2 linked regions of the Caenorhabditis elegans genome follow. The protein of the gene in region 2 purifies or fractionates together with the protein of the main gene of each other region. This does not show direct contact. Each region holds a gene or a part of one and is shown on either strand. Other genes may lie near its edges.

Region 1 (7,443 bases), 1.1 Mb from region 2:
AAAAAGAATGAGCTCCTGAGATTTCGACATTTTGAAATGGGAGAAATGGATCAAGCAATCAAAGTATTGGAGAACGAGGTGGTGAAAAGAGTCCGAGTCCTCGAGTATAAAATCTCCAACCAGAAGCTGGATCTCGATTGGCTGCAGAAAAATAAGGATGCCATTGTGAAACTGTCGGCTCTGCCGAATATGAAGCTTGTTCAGCGAAAGTGGGAACTTGAAGTGACTGTGAAGCGGATTGAAAAGGATTCAGCTGTCAGAAGACCTGGTATTGAGCTTTATCTAAAGAGTTTAAGATCTGTAATTTATTTTATAGAGTTCCTGGCTGACTGCTCGACGTGTATTGTTCATGTTCTATCACAACGTCCATTGCAAATTGAGATGATACCGGCATTTAGATTGGAAATTCGAGGTATTTCTTTTCGGAAATTCAACAAATTTCCGTTTTTCTTATTTCAGAGTGTCACCGAAACGAAGTGAGAAAGTTCATCGAAAACCACAGCACTCGAATTTCGTCCCGATCGTAAGTCTATTATTTAGTTATTCTACAATTTCTTCAATTTACAGAAACATTCTTCGTTATAATTGCGACTTTTTAGAAATCATTGACAGAACTGAAGATCTTACGATTTATTCTGAAGGATTGCGTGAGTTTTTCGATAATTGTTGCGTCATCTGAAAACTGAAAGATTAAGGCTTAATAATGATAGTTGATCTGCTCGATGGTGATCGTGATCGATACTTTGTCGCTCTGGAGCAGTTGGAAGAAGCTGTAGCATATGAAAAAATAATTGTTGGTCTGAAAAGCTATTCTCGTGGACATGGCGAAGCTGCATCGAATTTTCTCACTAAGCTGGCGGATCTCCATAACAAAATGCCAAAAATCACCGTTGTCGTAAATGTCGACCGAAGCGAGGATATCGAGAAAATTGTTAATGAATCAATAATCTAAAATTATAATTGCACACTGTTATTATGATCTCAATTCTGTGTTTTTACAACGTTTTTTTTATATTTTTCCTTTTTATTACCGTACGGTGTTTCAAAAAATTAACGAGATGCAAAAAGTAATAAAAAAAAAGTCAACAACAAAATAACGAGAACAATAAAAAGGTGTGGTATTTAGAGATGTATAGGACGAATCCCTCAAAACAAATAAAATCAACAAAAATTAATTCGTATACCTTGCATTCTCACTTCTTGACATTTCCGTCGAGCTGTGCCTTCAGAAGATTTGCTCCTTTTGAGTTATAGCCATCCAAGTGTTTTCTGCTGATCGAAGCCTTCAATTTTTCAATAACTTTCGGTCCTCCAACTTGAAGCATTTTCAAGAGAACATGGCAACCGCGATTGCAAGTCACCCACGAGCCAAGCTGCTTGCTCGTAAGTCCTTCTGCCAATGCAACTGACAAACGTTCATCTTCTTGTAGAGCGGCATCACAGCGCATGACTGCCATGAGAATGAAATTGCCCGATTGGTGTTCAATAATGTGGAAGCCTTCCTGGTCCATTGGTACAAAGTCCTTCTTCGCCAATTCAACGATCGCTTGGTTGCAACTCTTGCGAGCTTCTGCTGGGACTTGTCGATCGAACAAATCGAAGCTTGCTGAAAAAAACTCGAATTCTTTATAATTGTGCAACTTTTAAACTTACAGGTGGTTTCGAGACATGCAGCCACGAATTTTGACTTGTTGGCCTCGAAAACAAGCTCTTCGAAGTTAGCAGCCAAATAAGGATACAAGTTCTCGGTAATACCGGCGTACAACTGTCCATATCTATCCTTTTGAGTTTTCTTCGAGTGTGGATTGCTATCACCTTCGGCAAGGAATGTAATTTCTCTTTTGTCGATTCCTCTTCCATCTCTTGGATGCACCAAATAGTGGATAACTTTCTCTCCCCAATCATCTTCGATCAACTTCTTCATTTCATTTGCCAACTCGGAGACAATAACCTTATTGAGAAGAACAGTATCGTCGACAGTATCAAAAAGTGCAAGAAGAACACGATGTCCGTAATGTTCCATTGCGGCTTTTACTGACAAATCCTTGAAATTCTTGACGATCAATTTTCTTTCCTTGACTGGAGCAAACCAAATGAGTTTAATAGCCAATTTGGCACCATCTGGAGTATGAATGAACTCGGGAATTTTATCTTTCAGTGAATCAAGGAGATTGATTTTCTTTTCCTCGTCGCAATTATCGAAAAAGTCGAGCATAAGTTTGTGCAGAATTGAAAGTCGCAAAGTTTCTTTTTCATTCACTGCTCCAATAACCTCGTCCAAATGCTTCAAAATCACAACCTTCTTTTCCGGCTTTTCAGCGAGAATCTCCGTCAGAGATCTGATATTGTCTTCCTGAAATCAACAAACTATTTTTAGAGCTTAATTGAATGTTGTTTACTCTGAACAAAATGAATTCTTTTCCATAAAATTCAGTAATGATGTTGTAACGCTGATGGGCATTAGCGAAGTCATTGTAAGCATATTCAAGAACTTCGGCAGCATGTTTGATTCTGAGCAGGGTTGGAGCATGTCCGCGGAATGCATTAATGATAATATCACGTTGTTCTTTAGTTCCATTCTTCAACATTTTCTTGACGAAAAATTTGGAATAGACGTTCTTTGACATCCTCACTATTTCTGGGGTTAATTCGTTGAACACTGCAATAATTATGTTCTCGTAATTATTCATGGGAACCTTCAAAAAACTTACAGTTGTTAATGATTCCTTCTCTTTCAGTGGCAACAAGACATTCGATAACTCTGCTGGTGTCGTGAGCATAGATCAGCTTGGCAGCGTGTCCTTTTACAAGACCATACAACTCGTGAACCGCAGTATCCTTTTCAGCTTTTGGCGTCTTTCCCATTCTGATCTTTTCCCAAAGTTCCTTGCATTTTTGAGCACGAGCTCCTTCAGGTTTTCTCTTCAATTTCAACTCCTTCAAAAATGCTTTTCTTTCTTTTCTCGGCATATTCAGCAATTGTTCTTTAACAGACTTTGTGACTTGAATAGCTACTCTCTTTCTCTTTAGAGTTGGAATGTCAATATGAGATTCATCTCCACCTGCTTGTTCGTCGACAGATTCCAAATTTTCATCGTCTGCTGGCTCAGAAGCAACGGCTTTCTCTGCATTAACCTTCACTTTTTTCTTTGGGGGAGCGGAATGCTCTTCTTCTTCTTCCTGAGCAACTTTGACAGTCTTCACTTTGGCAAGTTTCTGAAAAAAAACAATTGTGTAAAAGACGATATATTGAATTAACAAACCTTAACCTTCTTATCAAGAGGGGATCTGAGAATTCCTCTTCCTGGAGATGCCTCTGATGGTTTGATTTGAAGATCCTGAACTCGCTTATCGAAAACCTTAACATGTTCAAGTTCTCCTGAGAAAAGCACTTTTTTCGATTTCTTTTTCGGTGCTGGCTGGCTTCCGAACGAAGACTCCGAGCACAAAGAGTCACGAGTCCCATCATTATCAAAAACTGATGTTGAAGATGACTTTTTCAACCTTTCCAACTCGTCCTTCACAGCTTTGTCTACTTTGCTTTTTAACGCTGCTTTTTCTTCAATCTGAAATATTTCACAAAAAATTATTTACAAAATGAAGTAATTTAACAAACCTTAACAATTCGCTTTCTGTCTACTTTGTTGAGTTTTAATCCTTTTGCCTTTTTCTCCAACACATTTTTAACCTTCTTCTTCCCTTTGAATTTTTTATTTTTGTCGTCGAGTTTCACCATTTTTACCCGCGAGATTTCTCTGAAAGACACGCATATTAAAAGGAGTAATAAACACAAGACAATTTTATGTGAGGTTTAAGCGATTTTTACTTTGGAAACAAATTGCACAGCTTCAAAATAGTAACAAAAAGTTACGAAAAAGTAAAGAAAAATGAAAAGAAAATGTTAAAGGCGCATGTTGTCTTCTGACGTCTCTCAATTTACACACTCTCTTCTTCGTCGTTGCGAGACCTGCCGCAATGTTCGTCTCTCCCGTAAATCGACATTGGAAAATCATCATTTGAAATTTTATTTCCATTTAGCTGCCATTTTCAGATTATCAGCTTTTATTTTCGCAATAATTCTACTATTTTTAACGCATTCAAATAAACGAATTATTAAATATTAAATTTTAACGGTTCTTCTGATTTCCGCAGAAATAAAACACGTACCAGTTGCAATCATATATGTGTTAACATAGTTTTTATTTTGCAGAATGAGTTCAATCGGTACCGGCTACGATCTCGCCGCCTCTACTTTTTCTCCTGATGGCAGAATTTTCCAAGGTTTGTTTCGATTTTGCTTTGTTCAAAATACTCATAATCTCGTTTTCAGTCGAGTACGCTCAAAAGGCTGTCGACAATGCAGGAACAATGATTGCAATTCGTGGCAAGAACGGAGTTGTGGTCGTTGCTGACAAGCTGATCTCTTCCAAACTTTACACTGATGTGAGTAATTTAAGAGATTTTCAAGATTTTATCTATAATTTTCAGAACGCTAATCCAAGAATGTTTAACGTGAACGACAATGTTGGTGTCGCAGTTGCTGGAAACTATCCAGATGGTTTCGCTCTGAAGAACTATGCTTACGGAGAAGCAATGAAGTGGCTCAAAGACTACCGTGAGCCAATGCCGATTCAGAATATTGCTAACTCAGTTGCTGAGTACATTCACATTCACACTCTCGGCATTAGTCGTCCGTTTGGAGCAGGAGCCTTCTTCATGTCATGGAACAAACAAACTGGAGGACGTCTTTTCCTTGTGGAGCCATCAGGTCTAAACTATGAATACAAGGCATGGGCTGTCGGAAAACATCGCCAAGCCGCAAAAGCTGAGATTGAGAAGCTGAAGATCGAGGAGCTGGATGTGAATCAACTCGTGAAGGAAGCTGCTCGAATCATTATGGTGGTGCGTGACGAGAACAAGGATAAAAACGTTCAAATCGAAATGGGATGGGTCGGTGAGCAGACGAACGGAAAGTACGAAGAAGTTCCAAGCGAGGTTGTCACTGCTGCCGAGGAATGGGCTATTGCCAAGCTTGACGAGGACGACATGGACGATTGAATCATTCTCGTGTATTTATTCACATTTTTAATTTATTATCAGCTCTCTTCTTTCTGCCCTGGTAAACTTCTTGCGCTCGGCGAGTCATTTTATTGTACTTCAAACCGACTCACCGACTTCAAGAAGAACTTTTTGCACCCGGATGTTTTTTTTTAACTTTTTCTGTTCATTATTTTTCGGTTTCCCGGTATTACCCATTTTTCTCAATACAAATTCAGACAAACCAGAAACATGTTTATGCACAATTCGCTGGGGGCAGTAGACCCGTCCCAAATTATGGCGCTATGTACAAACAAGGATAACAACAATTTTTTAAGTTATGCGGCAACTGCTTGAACTGCTTCCTCGATCATCACACTTTGACCAGTCTTCTGTTTCTCCAAGCACTCAAATACAGAATCTCGAAGATGTCTGTATGTTCTCGTAAGCTCTCCCATTCCAGTTTTCAATCCATTCGAGACGTAGGCAATCGTGATCCCATCTTCCAAATCCATCATTACTGTGCTGCCACCGTAACCAGGATGTCCAACAAGCCACTTTTTCTGAAAAAATAATTGATTTATTATTATATTTATTAAAACGATGCTCACCCCTCCCATTGGATGTCTCTCGTATAGGAAACCATGTCCTTTTGGTAGAGGAGTCATGACAACTTCATCAATCCCCTGAACTTGGGGGGCACGGAACTTTTCTAGAAGTTCAGTAGAGAACAGTTTTCCTTGTTGTACGAGTGAGAAAAGTCTAGCTAAATCTCTTGACTTTGTAATACCAAGAGCAGCGACTTGCTCCATAGCATGTAGAGTTGGATTATTAAAGGTGTTCACATCCTGTTCCAACTTGAACCACGTTGGATTTGCAGCAATCTTTCTTGCAATAGAATTTGGTGGTCGAAGATTAAAAACTGCAAGTACAATCAGAACACGTGGATCATGAACAATCTCCCGAACGAGATGAAGTGTGGACGGCATTGAAAGACGGGATACGGTATGCTCTTCGCTTGGCGGTAATCCAATATGAAAGTCGATTCCGTGAACATCGGCGACTTCTTCTTTGAAGAATCGTCCAACTGATCGACCTTTCGGATCGGAGCGTCGAACGATTTGATCAACGATCCATCCGTAAGTAATTGCATGATATCCAGATTTAGTTCCAGGTTCCCAGTTTGGTTTTTGTGATGCGATGACTTCACTCATTTTCTCGAAATCGTTGGCGTCTTCGATGGTTATTGGCATATCGAGTGCAGCAAGACCTGCCTGGAATTAAGAATTTACTTGAATGTGATTCAGCATGCGAATTTTTATAATTTATTATTGCATTGCGATTTTCTGGCGCCGCCTTTTTCCCATTGGGTCTCGCCACGATCTCAGTTACAGTAACCGCTACAGGCTCCAAATTTAACAAATTTTTTCGTTTCATATTGAAAATGTAGTTGATAAAGTTTCGAATTTTAAAGTGCACAGAGAAAACCAGGATTTACAATTGAAAATTTAGCACCTATTGTCTCGTTTCCACTAGAAAAGAGCTTTTAAAAAATGAGTTCCTTTGGAGTGAGCTCACAGTTTTCCATATATTATGGAGACGCAGAAAAATGCATGTTTTAAATCGAGGTGGAATTGCGCTCCAAGGCTAAATTATAACGCTCCTCTCCCAAAAGCTGGGTCTCGTTAGGCATTAGCGGCAAAACCTTAACTTCAAACGTTTCTAATTATTGATGCCGGCAATTCTTAGGCAGCGCTGCCTAAGAATTTTTTGGACCTCGAGTTAGATTTAGAAACCAAAAAGATTAAACATACTCTGTGTGACATTAACCAATCGATTGTGATATTCTCCTTCCCATTTTGTGCAAACTCTGGCCAGATCTTGCTCATCTTGTCATCATAACTGATGTGACCTCGATCAACCAACATTGCCACACAGACTGCTCCAACAGCTTTCGTTGTACTGAACACGACTGTTCTCGTGTCAGGGGTCCATTTCCTGCCCGACGCCTTGTCCGCATACCCGCCTTGAAGATCCACAATCACCCGATCCTTGTGGTATACGGTAATCGACGCACCCTCACGTTCCCAACCATCGGCAAAGTTTCGTCTGAAATCGAAAGAAGGGTGGCATTGAATTGAAGAAGAATTGGTTTTTGAATTGAATTGTGAATGAATAGCTTTTTGTTTACACTGTTCACTTTGCTTCTCACTTTCTTTGCAAAAAAGACGCAAGATGGTGGAGGATAATTTGGTGGAAAAGAGAGTGAGATGTATGACCTTGTCAGGAAGAAAGTGTAGTTTATAGTCATAGGGAAATGTTTCTAAAAGACGCTTCTAGAGATCAGTCACAAAAATTGGATTCTATGAAATTCATGGAGTCGAGTCCAAAGGTGCGCTGAAAATT
Region 2 (7,443 bases):
CGGATTCTGACACGATATTTCGATGCGGAACGAAGTGGTCCGTTACATATACGATCGGCTCTCACTTCTAGACAAGTCTCATCCTCCCCTAATTCTTCGAAAATCGACACATCTACATCTTGTTTCACTTTCTGAATATCTTGAAGTTTTGCCACGTAAGATGGCCAAACATCAAATCGTTGTACTTGTTGCCATGTCTGAAAATATATTATAGAGACGTCATCATTTGATTAACTTATTATTTTTTCATAATGCAAATAAGTTTAGTTGCTTACATAAGTTCCGTTGTCGCTCTCTATCCATCTATTTATAGATTCGTCAGCTGTGGTTTCCGAGACAATTATAGCAAATCTGAAAAGGAAAATGAAGCACTATTTTCATAGAATCTAAACAAAACACTTGGAAGATTAATATTTTCAGTTTTGGAAAGTTATATTAATCACTGTACTTACCGTCTTTTCCAACTTAAATTTTTAATGTCTTGGATTAAAAATAGAATTTAAAACTTTTGTCAAAAGACTATTCTCTTAAATGAGTGAAATATGTTACTGGCAGTTTCAAATAGTTTGGAAGAAAGTTTAACTATAATAATGCCAGCCTGTGCATGCCTTATGCCTACACACGTGTCTTCTGCCAAAGTAAAACTTTCCCCAATTCTTAGTAGTTAGTTAAAATTTCCACAATAAACACCAAATAACTAACAATTGGAAGCCGGTGTCAAAATTCAAAAAATAAGTGATATGCAGGCATGAATCAGGCCCGCATAAAAAAGTGCCTTCCTATCAACACTAAAATAATTTTAGATTTATCAGGCCTTTTGACTTTGAAAAAGGTTTTGTAAAAATGTTTATTATCCAATTCCAATTCCATTTAAAAACTTACTGTTTAATTTCTCCGTTTCTATTATCGAACATTGTTGTTGGAAATCTCACAATCATATTATGACTTCCAACACTTTCCTTCATAATCATTGGAGCTACTGTAGGCACTGGTGGTGCCATAAGTGGCATTGAAACAGTCGGAACAACTGGAGAATTCTCTCCGAATCCAGCTTCAGTCACTGCCCGAACACTGAAACTGTAAGTGTGTCCTCCAAAAAGTTCATCAATGACCACTTGAACAGTATGATCGGAACGATTCGAGGAGACTCCAACATCAATTGTTCTAGTCTCATCCGATCCTATTTTAGTCACATTAACTGCGTAATGCGTTAGAATTCCATTTGGAAGTGCTGGTGGAAGCCACGTGAGCATCACTGAGTAAGAATTCAATGGTTCAACTGAAATAAATACTTAGTTTAAATGCCAATTTTTTTTAAACCAACCTTTCAGATCTTGCACAGCCGCTGGTTTATCCTGTCTCGTAGAAAACGACAATTGCCTCATTGTCCTTGTAGCCGCTGGACACTGTGGAGTCTCACTGCTTCCACTTCCACATATAATTTGTGTATTTACTGTATACTTGTGAAATGGGCTTAATCCATCCAAATTGAGCAATGGAGCAAATGTTGCAGTGAGTTGCATTCTCTTATCGAAAACACTTTTCCCATTCATATCTCGTACAACAATATGCATTTGACAATTTGATATGGATGTGGAATCGTGATGAGTTGAAAATACAATTCGAAGAGTTGCAGATGACCTTGTAACACTTTCCAATGAAACATTCACTGCTGGACTTGACATTCGAATTGTTTCATTGTGACGTGTCTCAGATATTATTCCAGTTTTTGTAACAGTGAATAGTTGAACACGATAGCATGCTCCTTTTACAAGATTCTTCGCGAATACGGGATCTATATTTTTTGGAGATGTTTCAAACTTTAGAGTTTTATCTGTCTCATCATTGTTTCCAATTGGAGTTATTCTCATATTCAAAAGACTTTCCGCTCCAACTACTTTGTTCCAAATATCTTTGACACGTGTCATAAAAACCTCACTTTTCGGCCATATCAATTCAATTCCTCCGTTCGATTCCTGAAAAATTATATATTTGTATTTAAATAAAAAATTTGAGAACAAATTAAATTTTTATTTATTAAAACTAGAAAGTTTACCTGCAGTGTTAATCCAAATGCATTGAAATCAAAAGCTGGTGTGAGCACGATGCTCTTCTGAAGTTTCTGACTTGCAGACTCATTTGCCATCGAAGAAATCGAAAAATCGAAACGTTCTCCCGGTGAAAGTGCAAAGTTAAACCAGCATCTAAAATATAAAATATTAAATTAAGAGCGCATTTCCTATAACTCACATTTTGTGTCCAGATTTAGTTTGTTCAATATTCGCGTAATTGACTGATCTTTCAGCTTCATCTCCAGCAACTGTTATCTGACACTTATCAATTTTAGACGACGTTGGTAGCTCCGCAAGAAGTTTGTACTTTCCACGTTTCAAATCAGCACGAACCTAAAAATCGGAAATAAGAAATTTTAAATTAATCTTTAAAACAGTCTTATATTTTGATTTTTCTCAGTAATTGATTGCTTTTTTTGAAAATTTGAATGGTTGACAAGAAATAAACAAATAAAACTCACTCTAAAGTCAATTGGTGGAAGGGGACGAAGCTGAAACTTTGTGATCAGTGGTTCAGAGACTTGACCGCCTTTTTGAACAGTCGCAATAATTTGATATGCTTCTCCTTGCAACATTGAATCACATATTGATATGGAAGATTCTGTTGATGGAATTGTCATCTGAAAATGAAAAATTCATATTTGAAAAGTAGTCGGGAAGAACATTCAAATATAACTAATTTTTTGACTTTCGAAAGAAATTTGAGTCACGTTTGAGACGAGTTTCCTTTGTAGTTAAGATATATATTTTTCCTTTCTTGAAACCTTTAATATGACTTACATTTGTTGAGTTGTTAGGAGTTGATTGAAGTGAATATTGAATTGTATAAAAATCAGCTCCACTGAATTCATCATTTTGCCATGAAACTTCCACACACGATCCAGCGTTTTGATTAATATTCACTTCTTTCAATGGCGATGGCTCTGAAATTTTTTCAATAATATTTGAAACAACTTTCAATAACTAACTTGTAGTAAGAGTTGATATCCATGGTCTACTACTCATTCCGTCTTTATGCGCAATTACTCGAACTGAATAATCAAATCCAGAATTCAAATTTCCAAGGTAAAATTCCAAATTTTTCTGCTCCGGGATGTCGAGAATTTGGAGAACTGGAAATTTCTTGTCCGGATTTATTTGTCGATATTCAATTGAGAACGAATCCTGAAATTATGAGCATTGCATCTAAAATGGTAAGGTATTCTTACTTGAAGATAAGAATCATTTTTAATTGTTCTCATTGTGATGTTGTGCTCAGCGACTTGAATATCAGAATCCATGGATCGAAAGTCTGGCGCTCTCGGATCCATTACAACTGATTCTTCTTTTATCAGAGAAGTTGATCCATCCTTTTGACCGTGAATGGCAATTCTGAAATAATTATCCTATAGATATATTGTTGTTGGAAAATACAAACTAAATGTTCAGTTGTACTTCTCTTTGGAATACAAAAATTAATCTGAACTACAATTACATAAACTTTAAATCTACAAAAATGTTTACTTCAAAATTCCATGTTAAACAAACATTTCCAAACACTTACAGAACAGAGTTGTGAATTAATCGATAGCATTTTATAAAGAAAATGAAACTTTAGTTATTGTTTTGTAAGCTGAAGTAGCCAGAACAGGTGGAATTTTTTCGAATAATTGAATATCAGTTAACAATAGCAGTTCTCCCAAAAACGTATATTAGTTTTCAAAATTGGCAAGATTTGGGAAAACGCTTTACGAAAGCGCCAAATTGCGAGAACATTAAACTGTGTCTCAGAAGATGAATTTTTTATTTGGAATTTTTATTTCCTTCTAATTTTCTGCATAGTTAAAACAAACTTACGAATAACGATGTCCGGCACGAAGAGCATGTATTCGAATACTATACGGAGCATCATCGGAAGAAACGAATGTTTTGTTGGAATCTCTGACTTCGTCCGAACTGAAACCACAAATAATTAATTTTAAAAAATTCTATTGAAAATCTTGATTAAAAACTCACATATTCTCAGTGACATCTTGAATCTTGGCGGCAAAACTTTGATACAATGGATGCCGTCTTGGTAATGAAACAAGAATCTGTGACCAAGGCGATAAGGAATCCTTCTTGATGGCAAATAACTCGTGCTGCTCAGCCGATGTTGTCAGTGAATCTGATTGACATTTCGAGAGGTGCAGCACGAGAAATAGCCATATGAGAGAGTGTAGTTCGTACTTCCAGCGTATCATTTCATGATCCAAAAAAATAAAAAAAGTTGAATAAAAGGGAATAGATAGATGAAGCAATTCGAAAAGAAGGTCAAAATGACAAGAAAGAAAATGACAATGACAAGAAACACAAGATTGAGAGGGAAAGTGATCGAATTGACCGTCGGAATTGAAAAGATTCGGAAGAGAGAGTAGTTTATCACTTCAGAAGTGTCTTGCGAACTTTCCAATTAGCAAGAAAAATATGAGGGTTCAAGGGGAAAATAGGGTCATCATGTTTTACGTTTGACCCAATGGCCGCTTTGATGATTGCAAAGAAATTTGAGATAAGTTGAGGGAAAAAGTAGAGAGCTTTTTTCAGATTCAGAATTTTTAAAGTTTAGGAAAAATTCCTCAAAAACAAATTTGAAGATTTTTATTTTGAAAATAAAGTTATTAAGCAACTACTGAGACAGGTATTGGAAGATGTCAAGTGAGGCTTCAACTGTTGACGGAACAAAGAGAAGCTTGAAGAGTAATTCTGGTTAGAAGAAGAAACTGGTAATATGGAACAATCATCATCATAATGACAAGGATGGAAATGGTAGAATTCATAGAATAAATATGTTTTTTAAAATAAAATGCATGTTCAATAATAGAGGAGGAGAAATGTTGTTTGAAAATTTAAAATTCAAAAAGTCAATTGTTCCAATTTGAATCACATTAGAAATGCGAAGGAGAAAACCAGAAAATACATTCATGAGTCATCCTGGATTGATCAAAGAATTAATGACCGAATTTGTAAAAAAAAGGTACCTTTAGGAAAAATGTTTCAAGAAAAAACTTTTGGCAAATGGTGGTTCGAGAATGTCTAGTTTTTTGAAAAGATTTAAAATACCATAATTTATCAGAAATACGATAATGTAACCAAAAACATCGAAATATGAGCTGAGTCAGATTTCGAGTTCAATCAGAAAGAGTACGGTAGATATGTTTGAATAAATCTTTAAGATTTAAAAATGGTATAGTAGAAGGGACAAAGAAGGATGTCCTCACTTAGTTGTATGCATCTTTGTATGTGGATTGTTCAGTTCGCACAAAACTGTGGTTTTTGGGGGGAGAAAACGGATTGGTGTCTGTCTCCTGTGGAGTGGCGGGAAAGCAGCAAGAAGACGGTGCCGAGATGAGTGTCAAGGACGTCGAAGAGACGCAGACATCCGACGATGCCATATAGTCAAGTACTCCTTGTGTCGCCAAAACGAAGATGCCATTCATCTACTTCAAGGTGACAATAACATCGGGAAACGCACAGAGTCGTATTTTGTAAAGTTCAGAGGATTAAGTTAAAGTCTCTGAAGATCCAGGGTATGAAGAATCTACTTTTACTGACCTACAGTTATAACGAGGTAACGATTCAGGAGATGAGGCTGGCGGCTACGATGCGCTGAAGCGCAAATTAACATTTTCTCAAGGTAACTGGTGGGAACTGGGAATTAGGTACCATAATTTATTTTCACTTGACACCATATTCTATAGGTCAACAGCTATTTCAGAAAAAACGATTTCTGAAAGTTTGGCGCCACTGTATTTTTTCAGAAATAAAATGGATTTTCGTAAGAAAAATAACAAATTAAATTAAAATAATATAGTATACTGCAGACAGAAATATTTTCAGAATTTGTTTTTGCACCAAAACGTACAGTTCTGTGCAATAATCTAATTTGGGACTGTCTATGTCTTTTTGGAAATTCCAGAGGTATTAAGGGGTATAGCGTAAAAACCTAAGATTACAAATTTGCAAAGAAGAATTTCATGATTTAGATACGAGAGATCAAATTTTTGTAGTAATGAAGAAATATGAGAAGTATCAAATGAGCCAAGAAGATGCCGGAAGATGTAAGGAAATGAAGAAAATGACCCGAATGAAGAGTGAAGATTTACGAGCATCTTGCGGTCATCCCCTCCCTCTGATTGTTTATAATAATAGATGTTAGAAGAAAAGAAAGAATGAAGGAACGCATAAACACAATAGTTTATTTTTCTATTCATTTCTCAAGGCAATACGAGGATCTAATCCACAAAAACGGATTACTGTTGTTTAAAAGGCAACAATTCTTGAATGTTTATGTTTTGAATCATTCACCACATCACACTCGTCCCACCAAAAAGTCCTATACGGTAATTGATACTGACGTGTTGGAAACGAATCGAAATGGTATAGAGATGGGGAAAGAAAGAGAAGGAAACAGGTTGGATGCATAGGCAGCTGGAATCTATTCAAGGGGTCGCTAGGAATAAGGACGGTAAGCAACGATTAGTCAGTAAGTGAAAAAGGACAGGAAGGTATTGGCGTAGGTAATTTGAAAGGAGTTGGATAAATTGAGAGAAATGGAAGAAATAGTTACATTCAAAGTACAGGTAAGTAATTTTGTGGCAGCGACTTTAAGTAAATGTTTTTGAGCTTTGTGTTTGAGCCAATCAAAAATTTTAGAGATCGGCAGTTTTGGAAATTGCCGGTTTTGGAGATATTGAGCAACTGGGAATTTACGGCAGTTGTCGGTTTTAAAAGTATTTGGCTTTTTTCAATAACCGGCCATTTCTAAATTTAATGGTCTCGGAAATTTTCGGTACTATGGCACATTCAGGCAATGGAAATAATATTTTCCGGAAATGTAAAAAGATTAAAACAAAATTATGTAATTAAACAAATTAATTAGAATTGAAACTTTTCAATATTATTTAGACAAAAGATATTTGAAAGTGAAACCGATCTTATGGGCTTTGTTTGAGTTAAAATTGGCACAAAAATAATTGCTTTTAATATAAAAATAGTTTAAGTAATAAAGTCTAAACCCTTCAAGAAAACAAAACAAATCATCAAAATAAAATAAAAAGATGAGAAGTGAGAGAAAACGTTTTGACGATAAGAAAAAGTGCATACGCAAATAAAGACCGACTGACCGAAGAGATGCTCTTTTTGAGAGCTCGTTGGAAAGAATGGATCTGTTCCGGGATTTACTTGATTGGCTTTTTGAATGATCGAAATATAGTCTAGTTTCTTTTGAAACAATTTTAAGACGCTTATCTAGAATGAATTCGGGAAGACTCTTTGGAAAAATACATATTGTGCAAGCATAATGTAAAAAGTTAATTTTCAAAATGAAGATTTCAGCTCAATTTTAAAAATTGAA

Evidence for each region.
Region 1: the proteins of dep-1 (region 2) and puf-12 purify together in Caenorhabditis elegans (affinity purification with mass spectrometry, with the first as the bait; one large-scale study listed by BioGRID). This does not show direct contact.

The regions. Positions count from the first base shown.
Region 1 is NC_003280.10:10,096,622-10,104,064, reverse strand, and holds puf-12 (Pumilio domain-containing protein 12), read right to left. Parts: upstream 3,756-7,443; 5' UTR 3,737-3,755; coding exon 3,617-3,736; intron 3,567-3,616; coding exon 3,264-3,566; intron 3,217-3,263; coding exon 2,712-3,216; intron 2,660-2,711; coding exon 2,400-2,659; intron 2,354-2,399; coding exon 1,654-2,353; intron 1,607-1,653; coding exon 1,194-1,606; 3' UTR 1,004-1,193; downstream 1-1,003. Other genes in the region: putative RING finger protein ZK945.4, read left to right, coding at 1-268, 317-412, 460-523, 568-647, 696-952; pas-7 (Proteasome subunit alpha type-3), read left to right, coding at 4,212-4,281, 4,331-4,443, 4,489-5,058; lact-2 (Beta-lactamase domain-containing protein 2), read right to left, coding at 5,376-5,600, 5,649-6,311, 6,852-7,146.
Region 2 is NC_003280.10:9,015,474-9,022,916, forward strand, and holds the start of dep-1 (Receptor-type tyrosine-protein phosphatase dep-1), read right to left. Parts: upstream 4,326-7,443; 5' UTR 4,295-4,325; coding exon 4,068-4,294; intron 4,008-4,067; coding exon 3,909-4,007; intron 3,444-3,908; coding exon 3,281-3,443; intron 3,237-3,280; coding exon 3,041-3,236; intron 2,996-3,040; coding exon 2,853-2,995; intron 2,693-2,852; coding exon 2,534-2,692; intron 2,406-2,533; coding exon 2,251-2,405; intron 2,205-2,250; coding exon 2,057-2,204; intron 1,977-2,056; coding exon 1,325-1,976; intron 1,280-1,324; coding exon 883-1,279; intron 352-882; coding exon 276-351; intron 198-275; coding exon 1-197.